Arabidopsis thaliana: one gene and its partner. The protein of the gene in region 2 interacts with the protein of the main gene of each other region in a pairwise test. Each region holds a gene or a part of one and is shown on either strand. Other genes may lie near its edges.

Region 1 (7,831 bases), on a different chromosome or scaffold from region 2:
TGCTGCAAGTGCATTTATGAATCTGGACTCTGCTCCTCTGACTCCAGCTCTTGCAGCTGCCTTTTTGACATCATCTATTCCGTCTTGAATCCTTCTATGTCTTGCAAGCAATTGCATATGCTTCTCTTCCAGGTCTGCATATTGTTCAAGCATCCGTGCATGCCCTTCCATGGCCATCTGCATTGCTTCTTTCAACTCCTCCCCGCATCTTTTCTCAATTTCAAGTTCATGTTTCTGCTTATTAATCAGCGCCTTACTGGCTTCAAGCTCAGTTCTTAATTCCTCGGAGAGAGAAATCCATTTGGTCTCTGCCTCTGTCCAACAAAGTCTTTCCTGTTCTAATGTCTTCTCAAGACTCTCGTCCTGTGACTCAGGAATAGCGTTAACTGGGGGAGCTTGGTATGAAAGCTTAAGCAGGGTACACGTTTTCAGAGCTGATTTAAGAGAAGGGTCAATGTAACATTGCAGCTGCAACTTCAAATCCTGAATCTCTTCCAATAACACTTCCCGTTCTCCCATGTCACCATAAAAGTTCTTGAAATTCTCGACCTCTTCTTGCGTTCTTTCCAACTCAATCTTCGTCTTAAGCACTTCAGGGTGATTCTGATACATGTCCTTTAGAAGCTGCAACATTACATGTCAGTAAAAGGGTAATGCAATCAAATACCCTTTTACAAAACGAGAAGCCACAATTACCTTATGTTCATGGAGAAGAGAAGCAAATTCTTCATCAAGGAAATCCTCCTTAGATAATACGCCATCCATAAGGCTTTCAAGGCGAATAATTTTGTCCTCCCTTGTTTGTCCTATGATGGCATTGCACTCTCTCTCATGTTTGTATTGTTGTACCTATTACACGGTTTGGACCAATTTATGTTTGAGGATACAGTTACTAAGGGAGATTAAAAACAGAAAAAGACGCAAGTATCATACCAGTCGGTTAAGTTGGGTTATCTCAGAGGCTTGTTTAGTGCAGAACTCTTCCAGAGCCATTTCCCTCCTGATAGAACCTGCTAGAACCTTTTCTACTGCCTGTAAAGTGTAAAACTCGATCAGTTGGAGGAACCAATTATAGAAATGTGGAAACAAAATAAGACTGTGAATAACTATCTAAATCTATGTTAGAAAAAAGTCACAGTTCTTACTTTGGGAACTTGATTCTTGGATTTTTCTGCCACTTCCGAGTTGTCAACAGGTACTAACTGAAGATTTGGCATGTCACCCATTTGCTGGGCATCAAATTGTTCTCTGCATTTGCATTTACAGCACAGAAACTCTTTTGTATTCTCCTCTGATATTGCATCAGCTCCGGGAATGGTCTGCACACCTGCATCAGCCTTACTTATAGAGGTCGAAGGCTCACTATCTGGAGCTTTGAAGGAAAACCTGTACGTCGATCGTCTTTGAGCTGTACTCTGGCAATACGACTCAAGAAGTTTAATTCCTTTGTGGAGGCTAGATGCCAACCGCTCAGTCCGTACAGGAAAAACTTTGCTCTTCTGCGTAGACAAAGCACTAGAACAGTTATTCATCTTTTTGGATGTAGCCGGAGATGGGTCCGCAGCTTCTGTAACTAAATTTTCTCCTTCACTATCCTTCTGAGATGCTGTTGACAATTCTGATGTCTTCAAGCTTTTCCTGCTATTTCTAATCGTAGGAGAGACGCTCAGTGTGGGAGATTTTAATACAGGAGTCGCACCAACTGGATCTATACAAAGACTGGGAGATGCAGAATTTACTAAGTGCTCTGGATCATCTACTCCATCAGCTATCAATACATTTGCTGAAGTAACGTCTTGCGGAACTAAGTCAGGGCATGATGACACATCCTCTGACTTGTTCAGTGAAGAACAAAGAGCATCCTTGACTGAAAGAGGCTGGAAACTGGACTCGTGATCTAAAGTTTGCGAGTGTGTCTTGATCTGATTTTCTCTGATGCCAGTCTCTGTCTCAGTTCTCATATTATCCACGGTTTCTGGTTCATGGTTCTCAGTATGGCAACAAGCATCCTCCATGGCAACATCTGAGTCCTCAGGAAGCCGCTTTTCTATAGATTGGCCATCAGATGAATGTATACTCTTTACTCTGTTCATATCGTGATTGATCCCCTCAGAAGCTAAAGATGATTGCAAACCCACTTGAACACAAAGCCTTTCAACAGCAGCCTCATCAATTTCCATCTCAATATCACCATCATTATCTTCATGAGGTAAGGACCTTGGATGACCCAGACCGAAGCTTCTTAATAAATTCAAACTTCTACGTGCATTCCATGCAGTGGAATAAGCAACATTTGGATTGGTTGGATTATTTCCATCATTCTTCATCCTTTGTAGTTCATCCTGCACAATTTATCCATTAAAAGCCATATTCATATTTATATTTCTATCTTATAAAATATGTAAAAGAATCCGTACCCTCAGCTGGTGTATCACTCCACGCAAGAAATTTACATCATCCTGCATCACTTCATTGACAACAGCCTTATTCTGTATTGCCTTTGCACGCTGAGCAAATCTCAAGGTGCTGAAGGTTTCACTCCTGCAACTGCAGTTTTCGTATATACTTTATATTCTAGAAGATGGAGATAAAATAATTGCTGAAGTGGAAATAGGGGTCCTGCGTTACCTTTGAGAAGGAGAAACTGCACAAACCATTGCTAACTTTGCATTCCCACCAAGAGACTCTTGCAATAAAAATGTTAATCTGGAATCCCTGTAAGGTATATGCCTTGGCTTCCCTGTTTGAGAAATCTCTGCGAGGATGTTAATCAAGTTCCTGCACGTAACAAATTTATATGGTAAACATGTAGTTGATAATTTCATCTTGTGGTAAACATCCTGCCAATAACAGGACTGGTGAACAAACCAAGCAAATCTTTTTCTTTTTACCAAGCAAAATTTGTATATCCTCAGCAAAAGGGTAAAGGATATACAATAAATCCACTTTGATAAGACAATCAGCAGACAAATAATTGCCATTTTTGAGGTCTGAAGACTTCAAACAAATAAATATGAACTTCTGGGAAGCCCAAAGTATTTTTAGATCCTCAGCAAAAAGGTAAAGGATATACAATAAATCCACTTTGATAAGACAATCATCAGACAACAACACATGGAGAGATAGTTGTTCTAAAATTAAATATCAAAAAGCACTGCTCAAAAGACACAAGATCCTCATAAGCTACTACCACCATATTTCAAATTATTTTCCATTATCCCAAATTTTCAGTTCTTTTATAATCAAAAACTAGATTTCTAGTGCCTGCCGCAGTATCAAAAACTAGAAGACACAAGAACAGCAGAAGCTAAGTGTCAGTTCTTTAGTGCATCCTGCAGTATAAAATTAACGAAAATTCCATGCTAACTGAGATCCAAAAATAACAAGAGAGACTACTCTGAATCATACCCCAGCTGAGAGAGCGATCGATTGATGTTCCCAGCTTCCTTCAGACGTTCTCCGGCTGCCCCAGTTGATTTTTGTCGTTCAGAACCAGCCAGATCAACAAGGTTTATTCGGCTTGTCTTAAAGCTGCTTAAGCCATCTGCAACATTCTGCAAAAAGTACATTCTAAAGAAGTCAGACGTATATTCCATCATACATTCATACTACTCTATATATTTTCTTAAAAACAAATGAAAAAATCTCAAAAAGCCAGTATATGAAAAATTTAATGTAGAAGAGTAGCTTACCTTGCACCGAGATTCAACAACGCAAGTAAATACGCAATGTGACCTTGAACTTTCTGTGTTTACACTCGTTGCACCAGTCCTTCTATTTCCCAAACCCTACACCAGTTTCAGACACAAGTATAGCTATCAAATATTATTTTTATCAGGAGAGAAAATATGTTGACCGTTTCATATATATTGCCAACTAAGGAACAATAATTTCTCTTAACTATCACTATAAAATGTAAGCTTTGTGAGATCATTTGATTCACACAGCATCACTAACAGAACATCAACGTTAAACCCCAGTAGCAGCATTCTATATAATCTGTGGCAATCTCTTCTTTCTAACAAAAACAAGTTTTCACATTGCTTCATTAAAACTTAATAGAATTACAAAGATATGATACCGGAAATTGTATTTTGTGTACTTTTAGAGCAGCAAGTTTGATTAAGTACTTAAGAAATATTGCAAAGCAAACATGATTTAAGGTGCAGTACTGCAGTGAGAAACCAAAAAGAATAACAAACCTTGATCAGAAGCTGTGACACGTCTGTCAAGTTTTTTACGTATTCCTCAGTCAGATTTTCAACATAAACACCTGACTTGACATCTTCTCTAATCTGGTGACACATTAACGAAAAACGATGAACCCCATGTTTTCCTACAGAATATAAACCAAGTTAAATTTGAAAGTTCATTTTACCATCAGGTTTTTCTGGCTTGGGTCCAGTAGGTCTGTTATTTGCTCGTTGTAAATCTGAAAAGGAAGAAGAATGAAATTATATATCAAACTCTATAAAATGAAACCTTCAAACACCATCCAAACTTATGTAATGCAGCCAGTCACTAAACCTCGAGTAATGAGCACCGACATTGGTAATTGAGTTGCCTTTCAGCATGCTTGACTTGTTCCTGCAATCCAAAAAAAGAAACAAGAAGAATCTTCTTCTTAATGTGCTAATAATTGAACAAGGTCAAAACCACGAATTGAACAAAACCAGGCATCACCTCTTTGATTCGGGCAAACAATCGTTCAAAGACACGTGGGGTCAAACCTCTTTGGTCACCGCAGAGGTGCTCTTCCAACAATCCATTTGCAGGACCCCACATGGTATATGTTTTTCCACTACCAGTCTGAGAGAAATAATTTCATGATCAGTTAAATCAATAAGTTACAATCAAACAATCCAATAAATGGAACCCTGCCTCAAAGGAAGACTTTAGAAAATAAAAACTACCTGTCCATAAGCAAATACAGAACTGTTAAATCCAGATAGACAATTTTCAACAAGAGGGGCTCCCACAAGCTGAAACATTTGTTCCTGAGGAAGAAACAAAAGACAAAGTTAGAGATTCGGAATCATACAATGACATAGCATAATAATATCAAGAATCATGCAAACAGATATCTTGCCTGTGTCGACTCCGGATTTGCAATTGAGTCGAATGTGAAAGTTTGTCCACTAACTGTGAGGGAATCTTTGGACATCTTTTCTACTATCATATCACCTTCCTCCCCTTTGTTTAGAGGCTTCATTCTAACTATAACCTGAAAATTGGCTCAATCTGATCACCTTCTCTTCCTCATTATAAATGAGTACGGAATTTCACAATTGAGCTATGTTCTAAAACAACCTAAGCCTTCACCAAGTCACTCTACACCTCTCCTATTAGAAACGTAACCAAATTTAGAAAGTACACAAACCATCTCCAATTAGAAACCTAACCAATTCTAGCAACTACACAATCTTTCAATTGGGGTGAATTCAAAGATATGATTCAACATTACTTAATTAGAAATTTTGTCTCGATAATACCTAATTTCTGAGAAAAGGGTGAAATTACCTTGACACCTGAGTCTGAAAACCCAGATTCCGTCGCAGTCTCCGCACTAAGTTTCCGTTTAAGAGGATTAGACGGCGGCGGACGCGGAGGCAACGGATTCTTCATTCTCATCGACCTATGGTCAGGCGTCGACGTGTTCCGATCTAGAGGTGGAGCATTTTCTTTGGCGGATCTTAATTTGCGTGGAGGCTTCGATTTCGAGATACTAGGGTTTGGCGAGTGTGGCTCTCCGCCGTCGCGTAAGATAGCGTTTCTTGGTAACGTAAAGTGCTTCTTCATCTCCGCCGTGAAATCTACAATTAGAAACCCAAAGTAGAAGAAAGAGGGAAAGTAAATCGAATCTGCGCTTCTACGAGAGCGTCAGTGAAACCCTAGTGTTTGGGCAAAGAAAAGAGGAAGAAGAACGAGAGAAGAGAAGAGAGAGAGAGCCGTTAAAGAGCGAGAATTTTGAATTTGTTTTTGTCAGATCTTGTGAAGTGTTGACGATTCGCATCACATGAATTTCTAAATTATTTTATTTAAAAAGAAATGAATTTTATGTGATCGTGACTTTATGGCCGTAGGATGAATCCAACGGAGGGAATGAGCAACAAAAAAAGAAAAGGCCCACGTGTGTGTTTAATGGTGTGTGTTTTAGTCTTTAGACGTGTGGTAGTAATACTGCCGCACGGGTTTTTTAAGATCCACCGCGCGTAAAAATCCAATCCATCCGCTATGGAGCGGGTATGGGTTTAAAACTTTTGACCCGTTACGAAGCATGGCTCGCGAGTAATCGTATCGTGGGTTGCAGATTTAGTGGTTGTCATTGGGCAGCAGTAGTACTCATTTCTATCTTCAACTATATTATATGTCTTTGACTGTGAATAAATGTAGTTCGAACGACAAAATCATCAAAGCAGTAAATTAGTCAATAGCACAGATTTTTTTTTTTTGGGTTAAAAGTCAATAGCACAGATGCGACCACATTTAGTCATTTACTTACAATTTAGTCTTACCAACGACATGAAGAGCTAATATGAGTGTCAAAAAATACAAAATTCGATGGTAGCGATGAGCAATCTCTTCAAAATTGAAGTAAGTGATTCTTATGTCATAAAATTCATTGAATACTAGACAATTCATTGAAGATGATGCAATTTAAAAATTAAAAATAAAAAAATTCATACATGATAAAGCATGAATTGAAATTCTTCATGCAATTTAAAAAAAAAATAAAAAAATTCATACATGATAAAGCATGAATTGAAACTAATGTCAGGTCCTCCGGACTTGGGAGCGTGTGCTAAACTGCTAATAATATCAAGAGAGTAAACAAAACCACTTGCAAATTTTATAAAATCTGCCAAAGATTAGCAGATTATGCTGATAACTTGGTACAATAGTAGGCAAAATCTTATTCTACTATAAAATCTTCTCAAGTCTTCACAACTATTCACCATGTACTTGAAGTCGAAAGAATGTTCTCATATATATATATATATTTTGTTACGAATGTTCTCATATATAGTATGCCAATAAAACCACAAAATTTGTCTGACACAAGATAGAGTATCATGCTTAGTCAAAATATGTAAATATTCTCCTAAAGTTCACAACTACTTGCACACTTTCATTAAGTATGCTGCTATGTTTACATATTATACAAATAAAATCGTAAATTTTGTTAGAAACGTGGCAAACTAGCATAAATAAATAATCTAAGGCTTCTAGTAATCTTTGCATTACAACTTGCATAATTTCCATAAGATCTATTGGATATTGTAAAATCTGCCAATAAAACCACGTATCTTTTAAGAAAACACAGGAGACTAACCAAAATAAATCCAACCGTATTATAATTCTCTAAATTTTACACATTGACTCACGAACATTTATAAAATCTGCCATATTCGAAAAATTTGTCAACAACATCCCTATAATGTTTGAGAGACATGAAAAATTAGCAAAACATATGCTAAATGTGCTAGTAATCCCTAATGTACGTTTACATAATTTTTTTTTTGACCGATTTTAATTAGAGCTCAAAAGAATCATCCATGAAAAATGTACGTTTACATAACATTTTCCATACTTTGTAAAATCCGTCAATGTTGGATAAACAATGTTATGAAAAACATTCAAGTCTACAAAACAAAACCTAAGTTTCTATGGCTTATAATTAATCCCATAGTTTTTTAATCATGTTAGATTTGTTAAAATTTTGCTAGCGTTGATGATTTTCTTGTATTCTAAAATTTTAATTTTTTGAAAAAAATTAATTCGAGAAATTTTTTCACTAAAAAGACAATGTTTTTTTTTTTTAATTTAAAAC
Region 2 (5,006 bases):
ATCTCCTCTTGGGTTGGGAATCCCACAAAATCCTCAGTGGGTGGAGAATTTACTTTGACAGCACTCTTCATATCTGACTGAACGTCAGCTAGACCTTTTGTAGCAGACATGTCCTCAACCAGGGTCACTGAGTCGCACTTTTCTGTGACATTTAACACTATAAATTTAATAAAGGAGAAAATTAATTAAGAAATAGATTCTAACCACACACTGAAGAGATTCAAACCATTTCTCTGTTGCCCTCCATTTCCTTTGAGCATCCAAGCTGCCTTATTGTCAACTACTGCAGTATGGATTTCCTGAATAGGCGTTCAAAATGTTCTTAGTGATCTATTATTCCAACAACATGTTTTAATTTGAGATCCGTTACATTGCATGAAAAAGACAGTTTTAACAAAATGCTCTGTACATTGGACTCAAGCTGCAAAGTATAAGTCATCAATATCAGACCATTACCCTGGCTTCAACTTCTTCTTGTGTTTCTTTAACGAAAGGGTGCTCACGAAGAGCAGGCCAGGTTAATCGACTGTGGGGTTCCTGTTTCGCATAGTAATAGAAAAACAGTTTAACCCAGTCCAGCAATGGTCTCAAACATATCAATAAATGGTAAAAAGGACAACTTAAAGAAAAAATAAATATATCACCTTGTTGAGCAATCCTTTCAAAAAGCTTTCGAAATAAGTACTCATTTCATCAGGATATTTGACAGGATCCTTGAAGATTCACTAAAACGTTAGCTCATACTTTAAGCATAGACTATGGAAAAATAAAAAAATATTGATATACCTTAACAATGTGACGAATGAGAGCATACACAGAATTGGTGTAGAAGGGAGGCTGACCTACATATAACTCGTACCTGATGTATTACAAGAGATTAATTAGAACCATATCAAGTGCATTGAAATGTGGATAACATAAAGAATACAGAAAACAAAAAACTATGAAAGAAAAGCCATCAGAATCATCACATTTATAGATGTAATAGCTTTCATAACAATAACAATTGAAGTACGACAACTCAGATGAGTTTCTCCACCTACAATATAACACCAAGAGACCACAGGTCGACAGTGCGATCGTATGGCTGTTCTTTCACAAGCTCTGGTGCCATGTACAGCGGAGTGCCTGATGTGATATTTTGGATTAATAACAAGGAGAGACTTATTGATTTATTCACTCATTAATACGTCTAAGGAAATTAAAGATCTTTAACCTTTAATGGATCGCAAAACCACAGTGTTGGTGGACATAGCTCGAGCAAAACCAAAATCACATAGCTGAAAAATCAAAGGGGAGACAAGTTAGTTGATGGCAAAGAGAAGTTAAAGAAATCATATAATCAAGCCGCATTGAAAATACTTATGTTTCTACTTATATTTAGCTAAGTGTATGAGATTCCTGGCTAGCCGTATCCTCTTCTAGTACTCACATGATTAACTTAGTTTTCTGAAATAATCATAGACGGAAAGATCCATGGTTCATAAATCAATTTTCAAGAAGTTAGCACGTAATCTGGTACTCATAAGAAGAGGAAAAAAGTAGAAGAATCGTATTGTAACGATAATTCTCTCCTAAATTTTATCTTTAAGAAACAAGAATATGAACAACTCATGTGTGTGGGAAGCATAGAAACAGCATTTCAAACTTAATTACTGGAAGCAGCAAAAGGAATGTTATATTACCTTAACGACAGAGCCAGCACCAATAAGAATGTTTTGTGGCTTCATGTCACGGTGAATTATACGGTTGGAATGCAAGTAATCTAATGCTTTTACCTGGATTTTAAAGAAGTTTCAAAATTGTCTTAATAATCAGATATAGAAATAAGAGCCATGTTGGCAAAACGTGTTACCAATTGCTTTGCGATTGCTTGAACTTGCTCTTCGGGAAGGCACTTGTCATCTTCAAGAATCTCAAACAATTCACCCTGTAAAATTGGGTGTTCCATGGTGATTCTTTATTTCATATAAGTCTAGCTATATGCTTCATAAATCAGTACTTTAGATTCTACAATCTACAGTGAGAAAAGTACTTGGGCAAACTCAGTGACGACACAGAACTCTCGTGCGTTTTCAAAGGAGTCGAGCATTTCAATGATATTCTCATGCTTGAGCTTCCGCAATATCTGAGGCATAAAAGAAATAATGTTGGTCAAATACCATAAAATTGATTGGGATTAAAGTTGATGGTAAGTGCAATTAAGGACTGAAACTTGCTAACCTCGATTTCTTGCCTTAGACTATGTATATCCTTGTCAGTCTTTCCTTGTTTCATGATGAACTTCATCGCCACCGTCTGATAAAAATTACCAAATTAAGAATTGATTAGCTGATTTTAAGTAGCCGATGATAACAAAGAGAACAACCCAGCAACAATTTACCTGGCCGGTATACTTGCGTCTTCCTTTGTAAACCCTCCCAAAAGATCCTTCACCGACAAGCTCTATCACATGATAATCCTCGACACCCATATCTGAACACGATTGGCTTTTTTTATCTGTCAAATAAAGCACCGTTTTAGCTTCAAACGGTAAAATGACGGTACCCAGACCCAAATAAGCAGAATTGAGGGAGAGTCTACTATATTCAGTCTAATTCGATTAAAAGCTAGTTTCTAAACTAGGGTTCCGTTCCGATTTCTTGTTTAGCATAAGCAAAAAGTAGCGAATCGAAAAACTGGAAACATCCAAATTAAGCTTGAAATGCAGATCCTAAACCTGATTGGCGAGTAAACGGGGAAATCGAAGATTTGAGATAGTAAAGAAGAATATTGAACCGTGGCTCACGAAAATGCGTAAAATAGGCGAAGTGGTGGCTGCCGGAGATGGTAGAACTGGGAAGTCGGCGACGAGAAACAGCGGAGGAGGTCTTCGGCGGTGAAACTAGGAGAGATCCGTTGGATCGATGGTTGAAGAGAGAGATAAACTCTGCGTTTGGATATTCTCGGAAACTTTTGAAATTCAAAAAGAGGGAAAAATCTTTGAGTCAGAGTAGTGTGTACTCTCTCTCTCTCTCTCTCAAACCTTATAAAAAAGTAAAAACAAACCACAAGTCGTAATTTCCGGTTTATTTTAAAAACAAAAGAACTCAAAAATATAAATTATTTATCATTTTCCAAATTGGTTCCTAAAATATTATTTTGATTATAAATAAAATATTGTTTCCACTGTTCCACATAAATCACCGATTATTATTCATAACATTAAAAAAAAACTTATAACTAATATTATAATAATTAACGTCAATTTCAAATTATGAAACAAACTATATATTTTCTAATCGTTTCAAAGTGACACCTAGCAATATCTATACAAACGTTTTAAGAAATGATACTAACAAAAAGAAATGATGTTAAGTGGGTGATTGGTTCGTCGGTATGTAGTTATAGATTTATTACTATAAAATTTTTGATGTAGGTGTGATGACTGTAGTCGTAGGGTTTATTGTTGTAAAAATTAGGATGTATATTTTATTGATATAATATAATTATTTAAATAAATTAGTTGTAGAAATAAGATTTTGATAGTATGTATTTTAAATAAAAAAATATTATTGGTAAATTATACTTTATATAATATTATTCCCAATTATCAATGTGAGTTATATATGTCATAAAGTAGGTATTTACCTACTATTTATATCCATATAACTAAATTTAATATATATATATATATAAAATATAGTAATATTTTTAAAGAAAATAAAAAAATAAAGTGAAAAAAAAAATAAAAAAAATATAGACCTTCTAAAAATCTTAAAGTTATGCTGTAGAAAAACTTGCACTTACAGCCAAAATAATTAAAATATATATATAAATATATAGTATTTGGGGTGTGAGAAAAAAATAGGAAAGTTAAAACATGATTGTTTCAATATTGATTGTAGGTTTTTTAGTGGCTTTATAAATCTTTTACATCCCAACCAATCATGTTCTAAGATTGAATTATAGTGTCATTTGAAAAAATGATACTAAATATTTTTTACCTTCACTAGTTTTAGTATCTCTTTTTAAAATGACTCTATAATTCGAGCATCATTTTAAAAATGATATTAAGATTTTTTTTTAAACTGATGTTAAACTCATCAATTTTGTAGTGATATCATTAAGAAATCTTAAGCAAAAGGAAATGGTTTCAAATTCACAATAAAATAAGCAAATTTATATATCTTTAAAAGATGACGAAACGTTAACGTCCATCAACCGAACAGTTAATTTATGTTTGCTACTATTCGTTTATTTAATTTAATTTAAATTTTAATTAAATTTATTATTTATTTCTTATTTACGATTAATTAAAAATGACTAATATGATAATAATTTATGGATACGGTAGTTTATACATTTACCCGTGCATGATATATATCAAACGATTGTAAAACTTCCCAACCGCCAAAATCATACTTGCTTGCACACGAAAGCATATTGCAGACGTCTTCTCTGCTATATGCGTCCGCGTTTGCTTTAGGCTTGAAGAAGAAATGCAAAGCACGTGCATGTAAACCCCCACCTCCAAGTAAAATTTTTAATTTGTTTCGGTTACTGTTTCTCTCAAAGATGTAACACCTAAATTGATTCAACAAGGGTTTTAATAGGTTTGATCCGATGTTTAATGTTTTTAAAGTCTCTGTTCGAGATTCTTCTTTTGGTGAGAAAGTGGCTACACTTTGGATTGATATAATAAAGATGAGCATATATAGCCTCCAAAATTTTGTAGGCATTTCAGAAATTTTTCGGATCATAGGAGGAACATGTATGTACCTTTTAAGTCTCATCATTAATAATTCTGTGTTTCATATTTTTACTGTGAAAATGAGAATGACTAACGATTTTATTTATCTGATTTTGGCATTAATTAACTTATTCAAATTGCTTTTCAGTTTTCATTGTGACATTAGTTCTTTATGATCTTATCATATGTTTTTTTTTTCTTTGTTCAGGACCAAACCATTACGTGATAATGAAGATAAAGCATTGGGACCGGTGGCTAGCATCTTTAAAAGACG

What was found.
Region 1: the proteins of FU (region 2) and PAKRP1 interact in binary tests that used the Arabidopsis thaliana proteins (3 or more experiments, as listed by UniProt).

What each region holds. Positions count from the first base shown.
Region 1 is NC_003075.7:8,159,210-8,167,040, forward strand, and holds the start of PAKRP1 (phragmoplast-associated kinesin-related protein 1), read right to left. Parts: upstream 6,006-7,831; 5' UTR 5,800-6,005; coding exon 5,521-5,799; intron 5,225-5,520; coding exon 5,090-5,224; intron 4,998-5,089; coding exon 4,914-4,997; intron 4,810-4,913; coding exon 4,684-4,809; intron 4,588-4,683; coding exon 4,528-4,587; intron 4,433-4,527; coding exon 4,379-4,432; intron 4,296-4,378; coding exon 4,203-4,295; intron 3,789-4,202; coding exon 3,693-3,788; intron 3,555-3,692; coding exon 3,409-3,554; intron 2,779-3,408; coding exon 2,629-2,778; intron 2,548-2,628; coding exon 2,418-2,547; intron 2,343-2,417; coding exon 1,146-2,342; intron 1,033-1,145; coding exon 934-1,032; intron 850-933; coding exon 697-849; intron 625-696; coding exon 1-624. UniProt on the Arabidopsis thaliana protein: Plus-end directed kinesin-like motor enzyme that plays a critical role in the organization of phragmoplast microtubules during cytokinesis.
Region 2 is NC_003070.9:18,604,530-18,609,535, reverse strand, and holds the start of FU (kinase family with ARM repeat domain-containing protein), read right to left. Parts: upstream 3,026-5,006; 5' UTR 2,720-3,025; intron 2,500-2,719; 5' UTR 2,474-2,499; coding exon 2,384-2,473; intron 2,299-2,383; coding exon 2,224-2,298; intron 2,129-2,223; coding exon 2,036-2,128; intron 1,931-2,035; coding exon 1,856-1,930; intron 1,779-1,855; coding exon 1,686-1,778; intron 1,281-1,685; coding exon 1,217-1,280; intron 1,129-1,216; coding exon 1,044-1,128; intron 860-1,043; coding exon 787-859; intron 714-786; coding exon 645-713; intron 538-644; coding exon 457-537; intron 300-456; coding exon 227-299; intron 143-226; coding exon 1-142. Other genes in the region: AT1G50220 (B3 domain protein), read left to right, coding at 4,961-5,006. UniProt on the Arabidopsis thaliana protein: Plays a role in conventional modes of cytokinesis in meristems and during male gametogenesis but also acts in nonconventional modes of cytokinesis (cellularization) during female gametogenesis.